Ovis aries: one gene and its partner. The protein of the gene in region 1 purifies or fractionates together with the protein of each later gene. This does not show direct contact. Links are inferred from orthologs where the notes say so. Each region holds a gene or a part of one and is shown in the gene's direction. Other genes may lie near its edges.

Evidence for each region.
Region 2: the proteins of POP1 (region 1) and RPP25 purify together in Homo sapiens (affinity purification with mass spectrometry; 3 studies listed by BioGRID and IntAct, counting the BioPlex papers as one, with this or other methods). This does not show direct contact. The link is inferred for Ovis aries from reciprocal best matches to the Homo sapiens genes POP1 and RPP25.

The regions. Positions count from the first base shown.
Region 1 is NC_056062.1:79,008,995-79,013,338, reverse strand, and holds part of POP1 (ribonucleases P/MRP protein subunit POP1), read left to right. Parts: intron 1-1,063; coding exon 1,064-1,312; intron 1,313-4,344. UniProt on the Homo sapiens protein: Component of ribonuclease P, a ribonucleoprotein complex that generates mature tRNA molecules by cleaving their 5'-ends. Also a component of the MRP ribonuclease complex, which cleaves pre-rRNA sequences.
Region 2 is NC_056071.1:31,412,340-31,416,597, forward strand, and holds RPP25 (ribonuclease P protein subunit p25), read left to right. Parts: upstream 1-1,814; 5' UTR 1,815-1,971; coding exon 1,972-2,604; 3' UTR 2,605-3,253; downstream 3,254-4,258. UniProt on the Homo sapiens protein: Component of ribonuclease P, a ribonucleoprotein complex that generates mature tRNA molecules by cleaving their 5'-ends. Also a component of the MRP ribonuclease complex, which cleaves pre-rRNA sequences.

The DNA.
Region 1 (4,344 bases):
TATCTTTCCCCCTTTTACCCCATACCCGCCAAATTAGCAGGCTGCTGGATACTATAGCTACTTTTAAATATAGCATTTGAAACCTCTTTCTCTTTATGATGTTAAACAGTTGGTGTTCCCCAGTCAGATTTAAAATAAATTTTGACCTTCTTACCAGATAAGTAATTTAGCTCTGCACTTTGGAATGTGACCAGTCTAGAGCTGGAAGGTTGAAAGATTGCCTTTTGTCTTTTTTGAAATGGAAAACTTGAACTTGGATTTAATTTTTGTTCAAGTCCTGTTGTTTTTGGCTTTACCAAAATTCTTGGTTTGGTCATTCTGTGATTGCCCAAGCACCTTATATCCTCATTAATTGATTCAGAATTTCTTTGTCAAGTGCCGTCTAGGTACTGGCATGGTGCTGGTGGTGGGGTTAGAGTCCATTAAGGTAGAATCTTCTTAAGGGGCCCACACGCTAATGGAGAAGAGTTTTTCCCACAGCACTTTAGCTTAGCTATGGAAGAGGAAGAGTGAAAACTAAACAGGAATTTTGTAGTTTCTCGATTTCATGAGAAGTCTGTTTCCTCATGAAAGCGTTTAGCATTTGTCTTTCAGTACTTAAGTGATGTGAGTTGTGTAGGTTTTTCCCACTTTTATATTTTTGGTCCTTAGTTTGGGGTTTAATTATGATCTTAGAGGTTAAAAAAACTAGAAAGAGAACAATGAAGAACTAGCATCTGATTTATTCTTTCTTCCTGTCTGATATTGTTAGCCACACATCAGTTTGACTTACTATGTTGAACATTTTGTAAATATTCTAATCTTCCCAGGCCCCAGAGTTTGCCCAGTTCATGAGTGATAGAACTGAGCTTCCTTCCTAGGTTTGCCTTTTCCTAAAATCTTCATTCTTTCTGTGACCTCCTCTACTTTTGTTGGAAAAAATCACCAAATTAAAAAATTGCACAAACTAATGGAGTCCTAAAGTATTTCACTTCACCTAAAACTAGCTCTTTGAATTCCTAACACTTAACTTTGTTTTGAGATGGTCACAAACAGGGATCTGCCTGTCTTCTTGAAACTATAGGCAGAGAAAGCAGTTCATCAGAAAAAAGAACACTCAAAAAATAAGTGCCATAAAGCTCGACGATGTCACATAAACCGCATACTGGAGTTTAACCGGAGACAGAAGAAGAACAAATGGCTGGAAACTCACATCTGGCACGCGAAGCGGTTTCACATGGTCAAGAGGTGGGGCTACTGCCTGGGAGAGAGGCCGACAGTCAAGAGCCACAGAGCCTGCTACCGGGCCATGACGAGCCGCTGCCTCCTCCAGGTAGGCTTCCAGAGCCAGCGGCCGCTCAGTGCGCTCCCCTCTGTTTCTGTTTAGACTCTTCCCCACCCTTTTGAAAGAGTTCGTGGTAGGCCAAAGCCCTATCTAAGATGACGTATTTTAAAAATAATTACTGGGCGAGAACCATTTTGCTAGATGCTGGAGTTGAAGCAGCCTCAAGTTTTGGGGGGAGACTGACAGTCAGATAATTAGCCTAACATTCAGTTTTGTTGTAAGGGAAAACTGTGCAATGCTATGAATATTCATAACGGGAAGAGGAGTGCTTCGCCACGCAAGTGATGTCTGAGCCGAGCTCTAAGGGCTAAGAAATTGCCAGAGTGGGGAAGGCAGCAGGCAGCCAGATAGGGAAGGATCGAAATAAACACACTGTGACAAAGACGAAGAGAGTGAGAGCAGGGCTAACGTTAGGGTGAGAGTAGTTCTGGAGAAATAAGTAGAAACCAGAGCCCGCGGGGTCTTATTGGTCATGCTCCAGGCTGATTCAGCACTGATTCATTTAGCAGTCATTTGCCACCATAGATGTTTGAGAACCGTCTCTGCTGGGAAGTGTACCTTATGACCCAGCAATCCCACTGCTGGGCATACACACCGAGGAAACCAGAATGGAAAGAGACACATGTGTTCATCGCAGCACTGTTTATAATAGCCAGGACATGGAAACAACCTAGATGTCCATCAGCAGATGAATGGATAAGAAAGCTGTGGTACATATACACAATGGAGTATTACTCAGCCGTTAAAAAGAATTCATTTGAATCAGTTCTGATGAGATGGATGAAACTGGAGCCGATTATACAGAGTGAAGTAAGCCAGAAAGAAAAACACCAATACAGTATACTAACACATATATATGGAATTTAGGAAGATGGCAATGACGACCCTGTATGCAAGATAGGAATAAAGACACAGATGTGTATAATGGACTTTTGGACTCAGAGGGAGAGGGAGAGGGTGGGATGATTTGGGAGAATGGCATTCTAACATGTATACTATCATGTAAGAATTGAATCGCCAGTCTATGTCAGGCGTAGGATACAGCATGCTTGGGGCTGGTGCATGGGGATGACCCACAGAGATGTTATGGGGAGGGAGGTGGGAAGGGGGTTCATGTTTGGGAACACATGTAAGAATTAAAGATTTTAAAATTAAAAAATTAAAAATAAAAATTAAAAAAAGTCTTTGAGAGGACAGTTGAGTTTGGAGCTGATCTTAGAGCTGCGTAATAGTCTTTGTCTGTCTTGGCTGTCTAGCTCCTCCACCCCAGCAGCCTGCCCCAGTCCCCCCAGCTCCACGTGAAATCGCTTCCTCTCTTTTTCAGTACATGTTTAGCAATCTGTGGGCTTCCCCGGTAGCTCAGACGGAAAAGTGTCTGCCTACAATGCGGGAGACCCAGGTTTGATCCCTGGGTTGGGAAGATCCCCTGGAGGAGGAAATGGCAACCCACTCCAGTATTCTTCCCTGGAAAATCCCATGGACTGAGGATCCTGGTAGTCGCAAAAGACCCCAGTCCATGGGGTTGCAGAGTCGGACAGGACTGAGCGACTTCACTTAGCAATCTGTTCTTTGCAGAGGGCCTTTCAATGGCAGGATGGCCTTGACCAACTTTAGAAAGCTGTTCGTATTAGCATCCTCTGATACCTCTTGAGAGCAATATAGCAGAATAATCAGTACAAGAACCTGAAAAAAATCTGTGGTAAAAGAGACCTAACGTCAGATTTGCCATTTTATTTTTAAGTCTGCACTTCCGTGGTACTTATTACTTAGGTCTTAAGTAGATTCACATTGTTGTGTGACTGTCATTACCATCCGTCTCCAGGACTTGTTCGTCTCCTCAAGCTGAAATCCTGCATCCATTAAACACTGAAGTCCCCATTCCTGTCTCACCCTGGTCTCTGTCAGCTACCATTCTACTTTTTATCTTTATAAATTTGACCCCTCTAGGTGGCTCACATAAGTAGAATCATATGATACTTGTATTTTTGAGACTGGCTTATTTCCCTTAGCATGATGTCTTCAAGGTTCATCCATGTTGTATCATGTGTCAGAATTTCCCTGTTTTTAAGGCGGAATGATATTCCGTTGTATTTTATACCACGTTGTGTTTATCCATTCATCATCCATCCATTCATCCATCCATCAACGTTGATCCACTCTTGGGTGGTCTCCACTTCTTGGCTGTCTCGAGTAATGCCGCTGTGGACACGTTGTACAAACATCCCTGCAGCTCTTTGCTCTCAGTTCTTTTGGGTACATGCCCCGGAGTGGAACTGCTGGATCATGAGATAGTTCCTGGTTTAATTTTTTGAGGAACCATCATACTGTTTTCCGTAGAGGCTCTACCATTTTACATGCCCATCAGCAGGTTCTGCACATCCTCACCACACCTGGTGTTTGCTGGCTTTTTGTTTTTTTTTTGATAATTGCCATCCTAATGGGTATAAGTAAAACACAGGGACCTCTTAAGAGCCTTTGATTTGAAGACTCAGTAGCAGAAATCATGGATTAGAGTCAAATTCTTCATTTTACATTGCGGATCTGGGATTTGGAGTGATCAAGTGACTTGCCTAGGGCCACACATGTTGCTGGCGACCTACCTAGCTCTGGGAAGCCGACTCCCCTGGCCCATGCTTTCTCCACTACCATCACTCAGATTGTAAGGCAGACATAGTTACTCCTCATTTGGGGCAGAATTTTTGCTGAGGTTATCCCATACTTTCTTTACATCTGCCCTAAGTAATAAAAATAATAGCTAGTAATAAATATTTTTGAATACTTAATGTCTGTTTTAGTACTTTACATATGTTTACTCACTTAATCCTTACAGCAACAGTATGGGGTAAGTGTTTATTATTATTTCCATTTTACAAATGAGGAAGCTGAAGTACAGAGAAGTTGGGCAGTTTACCCACAGCTGTACAGCTAATGAGTGGTGAAGCTGGGATTTGAGCCCAGGTCGTCTGGCTCCAGAGTTCCATGCTCTTAACCATCATTCTCTGCTGTCAGCCAATTGTACA
Region 2 (4,258 bases), on another chromosome or scaffold:
CTCTTCTTCCGTAACCAACCGGTTCGGACTTAGATTCCAGCGGTCTGGGGACTTCTCAGGCCTAACGAAACTGATGCCCGTTAAGGCCCACAACTGCCCCAGTTTTACAGAACCTGAGTACCCCTGAGCCTCGCCAAGTGCTGCAAATTCTTGTGTCTTCACCAGACTGCTGCCCTTCGACTCCTACGGCTGTTCCTCGGGGGGTAGGGGGTGGGGCCGCGGGAGCTGCGACAGGCCAGAAACACAGATTCCGAGCCGAAAGCGCCCTCCAGAGCCTCTCTCCCCAGCGTGCGAGCAGGAGATCCCAGAAGAGGATGGTCATTCATGTACTGGGGCTCAAAAGTCCACCTGCTCTCCAGTCACTCCCAAAGGGCCGTAGTGGAGTCAGTCCCGGGTTCCAAACAGCAGGGCCGAGCGCTAGGAGATACGAGTTACTGAGAAGGCGAAAGCAGCCTGGAGGAGAGGAGGGGGACCCCAGCAGCCCCGTCTCAAGACTCGGCACCAGCTCTCCCAGGCACTGGGATGACCCCAGCACTTCAAGGGCTTCCTGTCCGCCGCAGCTATCAGGGCTCCACCCCGCCACGCCCCATCGTAGTCACCCCTACCCGGATCAGGTCTGGCCCACCTTCAGTTCTGTGTGTCCCGCGAGGGGTGGAAGGATGAAGGACGAGGCCCTGGGGCAGTTCTAGGAAGAATACAGCTGTATTCTTCACAAACCCGCTCTCTCTCATCAGCAGTCCTTTAAAGCCCAATCTCATCTCTCCCTTCACTGTCCATCTCTCCTGGAAAGAGATCCCGGGCCACTCCCTCGGTCTTGCGGAGTTCCAGGGGAGGGGCACCCGGTAACTGTCCCTGAGATTTCCGTTTCCCAGCTACCTCCCTTCTCCCTCAAAACCTGCTTTTACCCAGCCTCTTTTCTGAAAAGGACCCCACTGGGTCCCAGGGGGCCCGGTTGACTAACAACAAATTCCACCTGAGAAGAAAGGGGATCCACGTGAGCAGAGGACAATATCTGGCTTACTCTAGGGCATGCAGTTCTAATACTCGACTTTCAGGCATGGATGGAGGGAGCTTAACTCCTCTTGAGAAGGGAGTCTCATTGTTCTCGTCCCATTCATCCCAGGGCACAGCCTGGCCCAGAGCCTCGGTTCGCAGAGCAGGGGTGTCTGGGAGCCTTCAGCTCCGGTCAGGCGCGGCAAGCCTGAGACCTCAGTTCTCCGGTTGTCCTGCGAGGACCATGCCGAGACATAGTCGTCGAGGGCAGACGCGGAGCGGAGACGGCGCCTACTACACTCTGCTGACAGCGTGCAGGCTGTCCTTCAGGCGAGAAGAGAGGCTCGGGAGCGAAGGGATGGGGTGGGGGTGGGGGTGTCGTTCCTCTAGGAGTGGGAGAAAGAGGTCCCAGTCCCCAGAAGGCCGCTTTGAAATCTCTCATTGGGAGCGGGCAAGGGGTGGGTGGCCTTCAGCTGAACCGCGGAAGGGCTCGGGGACCCGGCTTGAAGCTGAGTTTGCCCAGCAAATGCAGTTTTTATTTAGGTTGCAGGTTTATGAAGGTAGGCTCAGGGAGGGCTGATGGTGATTATAGGGAAACTTCAGCTGGCAGGTCACTCCTGGCACTGCCATGGCATCCCGCGATGCGCGCACCTCCCAAACCCGGATATCAGAGGACCAGAGTGGATGCGGGCGAATTGCTGGTGAGGCTGGGCGCGAGCTGGCAGGGCTGGGTAAGGGGCGGGGCCCGGCGGCAGGGGCGGGGCTCCCAGGCTCTGAGGCGGGGCCTCAGCTAAAGGCGCGTAGCACAGGGCGCCGAGATCGCCGAGTAGAGCAGCGCCCAGTGGAGAGAAGTGGAAGGCTAGGATCGCACCGTCCCAATCGGCCAGCCAGCGTCCACGCCGCTCCCGCACCCTTAACCCTGCCGGCCCTTGCGGGACGCGACCCACCGACATGCATTCCCGGGGCTGAGGCGGCCCGATGGCGAAGCCCGCGTCCCCGCAACGACGGCGCATGGAGAACTTCCGTAAGGTGCGCTCCGAGGAGGCGCCGGTGGGGAGCGGGGAAAAGGAGGGCGGCCCAGGCTCAGGCCCCTTCGCCGACCTGGCGCCGGGCGCCGTGCATATGCGGGTCAAGGAGGGCAGCAAGATCCGGAACCTGCTGGCCTTCGCCACTGCCAGCATGGCGCAGCCAGCCACGCGCGCCATCGTCTTCAGCGGCTGCGGTCGAGCCACCACCAAAACCGTCACGTGTGCCGAGATCCTTAAGCGCCGCCTGGCGGGTCTGCATCAGGTCACGCGGCTGCGCTACCAGAGCGTGCGCGAGCTGTGGCAGAGCCTCCCTCCGGAGCCCACACCGGGGCAGAAGCCTGGCGAGCCAGCCGCCAGTCTCAGTGTACTTAAGAACGTGCCCAGCCTCGCCATCCTACTTTCCAAGGATGCCCTGGATCCGCGCCAACCCGGGTACCAGCCGCCGAACCCCCATCCCGGCCCCTCGTCCCAGCCAACTGCTCCGACGTCCAAGAGGAGTCTAGGGGAACCTACTGCTGGAGAGAGCTCCGCGAAGAGGTCACAACCCGAGCCAGGTGCTGCTGAAGAGGACCAGACCGCCTGAGAACTCCGGCCTCTGGGCCACCTGGACGGGCTGAATCCTACGCTCGAGCTTCGACCTTGAGATGCATCTCTAGCCTTTCACGCCTTGGTACTCTGGAACCTACAACGTGGAAGCATAGACCCCAAGGCGACAAGGGGGGACCCCAGGGAAGCTTCGTGGTGGGGTTGCTCCTCCAGCTGTGTTGCCTGACGACACTTTCAGCTTTTCTGAACCATACGGGGACCTTCTTCAGGGAGGGAATGGTGGGCAATGGGATTCTTGAGCCTTTAACCCCAAGGGTTAAAGGTTCATGTAGGATTCTTGAAGTGGGCTACGAAGGTGGAAGCTGAGGAGAGCTCTTGAAACCACCCCACCATTGTCAGCAGAGGGCAAAGGGTTGGAAACCACTGCTTGAGGGCGGGGGATTTTGAGTGGCAAGGGGTAAGGGGCTATTCTGCTCCTCACCCCAGGACAGTTTCTAGTTTTCCTTTCCCTGCTTTTAAGGAGCATCCTGAGATCATGGTGGCAGGGGCGTCTCCATAGGCTCTTTTAACATCCCACTTTCCCCATGCTGGCCCAGAGGGAGAGACCCAGGACAGAACTCTCCATGCCGCCTCCCCTGAGCCCCACAGCTGGAGTCTTGCTTCCAATAAAACAAACACAAAAAAGGCTCTGTCCCTGGGTTTTTTCCTAACCACTAGCCTGTGTAGAGACTGCTCTGGTCTGCCCCCTTGTGTCTCAGTCCCCTCCAGCCTGGAATCCTTAGCTTTTGGAGTCTTATGGGTCAGGCACAGAAACTGGACAGCTTTGAAATGGTGCTGGGAGCACCTTACCCAGTGCCTGGTTCCTCCCTCTTTCTCAGCCCTCCCTGGCTAGCTCCAGTAGCTTCAGGGCTTGTGGACAGAAGGGGACCTTGGTCACCTTATGTGCTACCACTAAGGGAAAGGGAGCAGCATACTGCTTTTCTGGAAGGGGGAGGAAGGGAAGCATCAATGAACTATCCTGGGGGTCACTGCCAAGGGTGGCAGATCCAACTGGGCTCCCTAAGCCTGCAGCCTCCTGCCAATAAACAGCCCTACCAGACGGCTGGCCCAGAGCCCCCCAGCCCCATGGATAGAATCTACCCTTCACTGCTCGCTCGCTCTCTCTGAGAAAGGACAGCACACCCTTGGGAGAGGGGGAGGAGAGACTGAGCACAAATCCACTGCTGGAAATTACTATTCAGCAGAGAAGCTGGGACTTGGGCTGTGAATCACTGCAGGCTCCCTGATAAGCTGCTGCCTCTGGCCCTGCACAGCTGTCTGTTGAGAGATAACAGCCTTATAAGCCTTTCTGCCCAACTCCAAGTCAGGTGGGAGGGTGGAAGGAGTGCTGTGTACTGGAAGAACTCTAGCAAATATGAGGGGGAGGGGCATGTAGCTCCAAGATCATAGAAGCAGACCCTGTCCCCTTGCAACTTAACAGCATCCTTGGAAAGGAGGAGATGGGGAAATATGTAAGTCACTTTGTAGGCTAAAAGCTGAAATAAATCCTTCTGCTGGTAACAAGAGGTAGGTTTCTGCAGTTGATATAAGGGGCTCTTCAGGGAGTTCACCCTCACCCCCAGCTCTGCTTGAGCTTTGGATAGGTGGGCCTTGTCAAAGAGACTCTGGCACTGGCTGCTCTCCCTAATGGC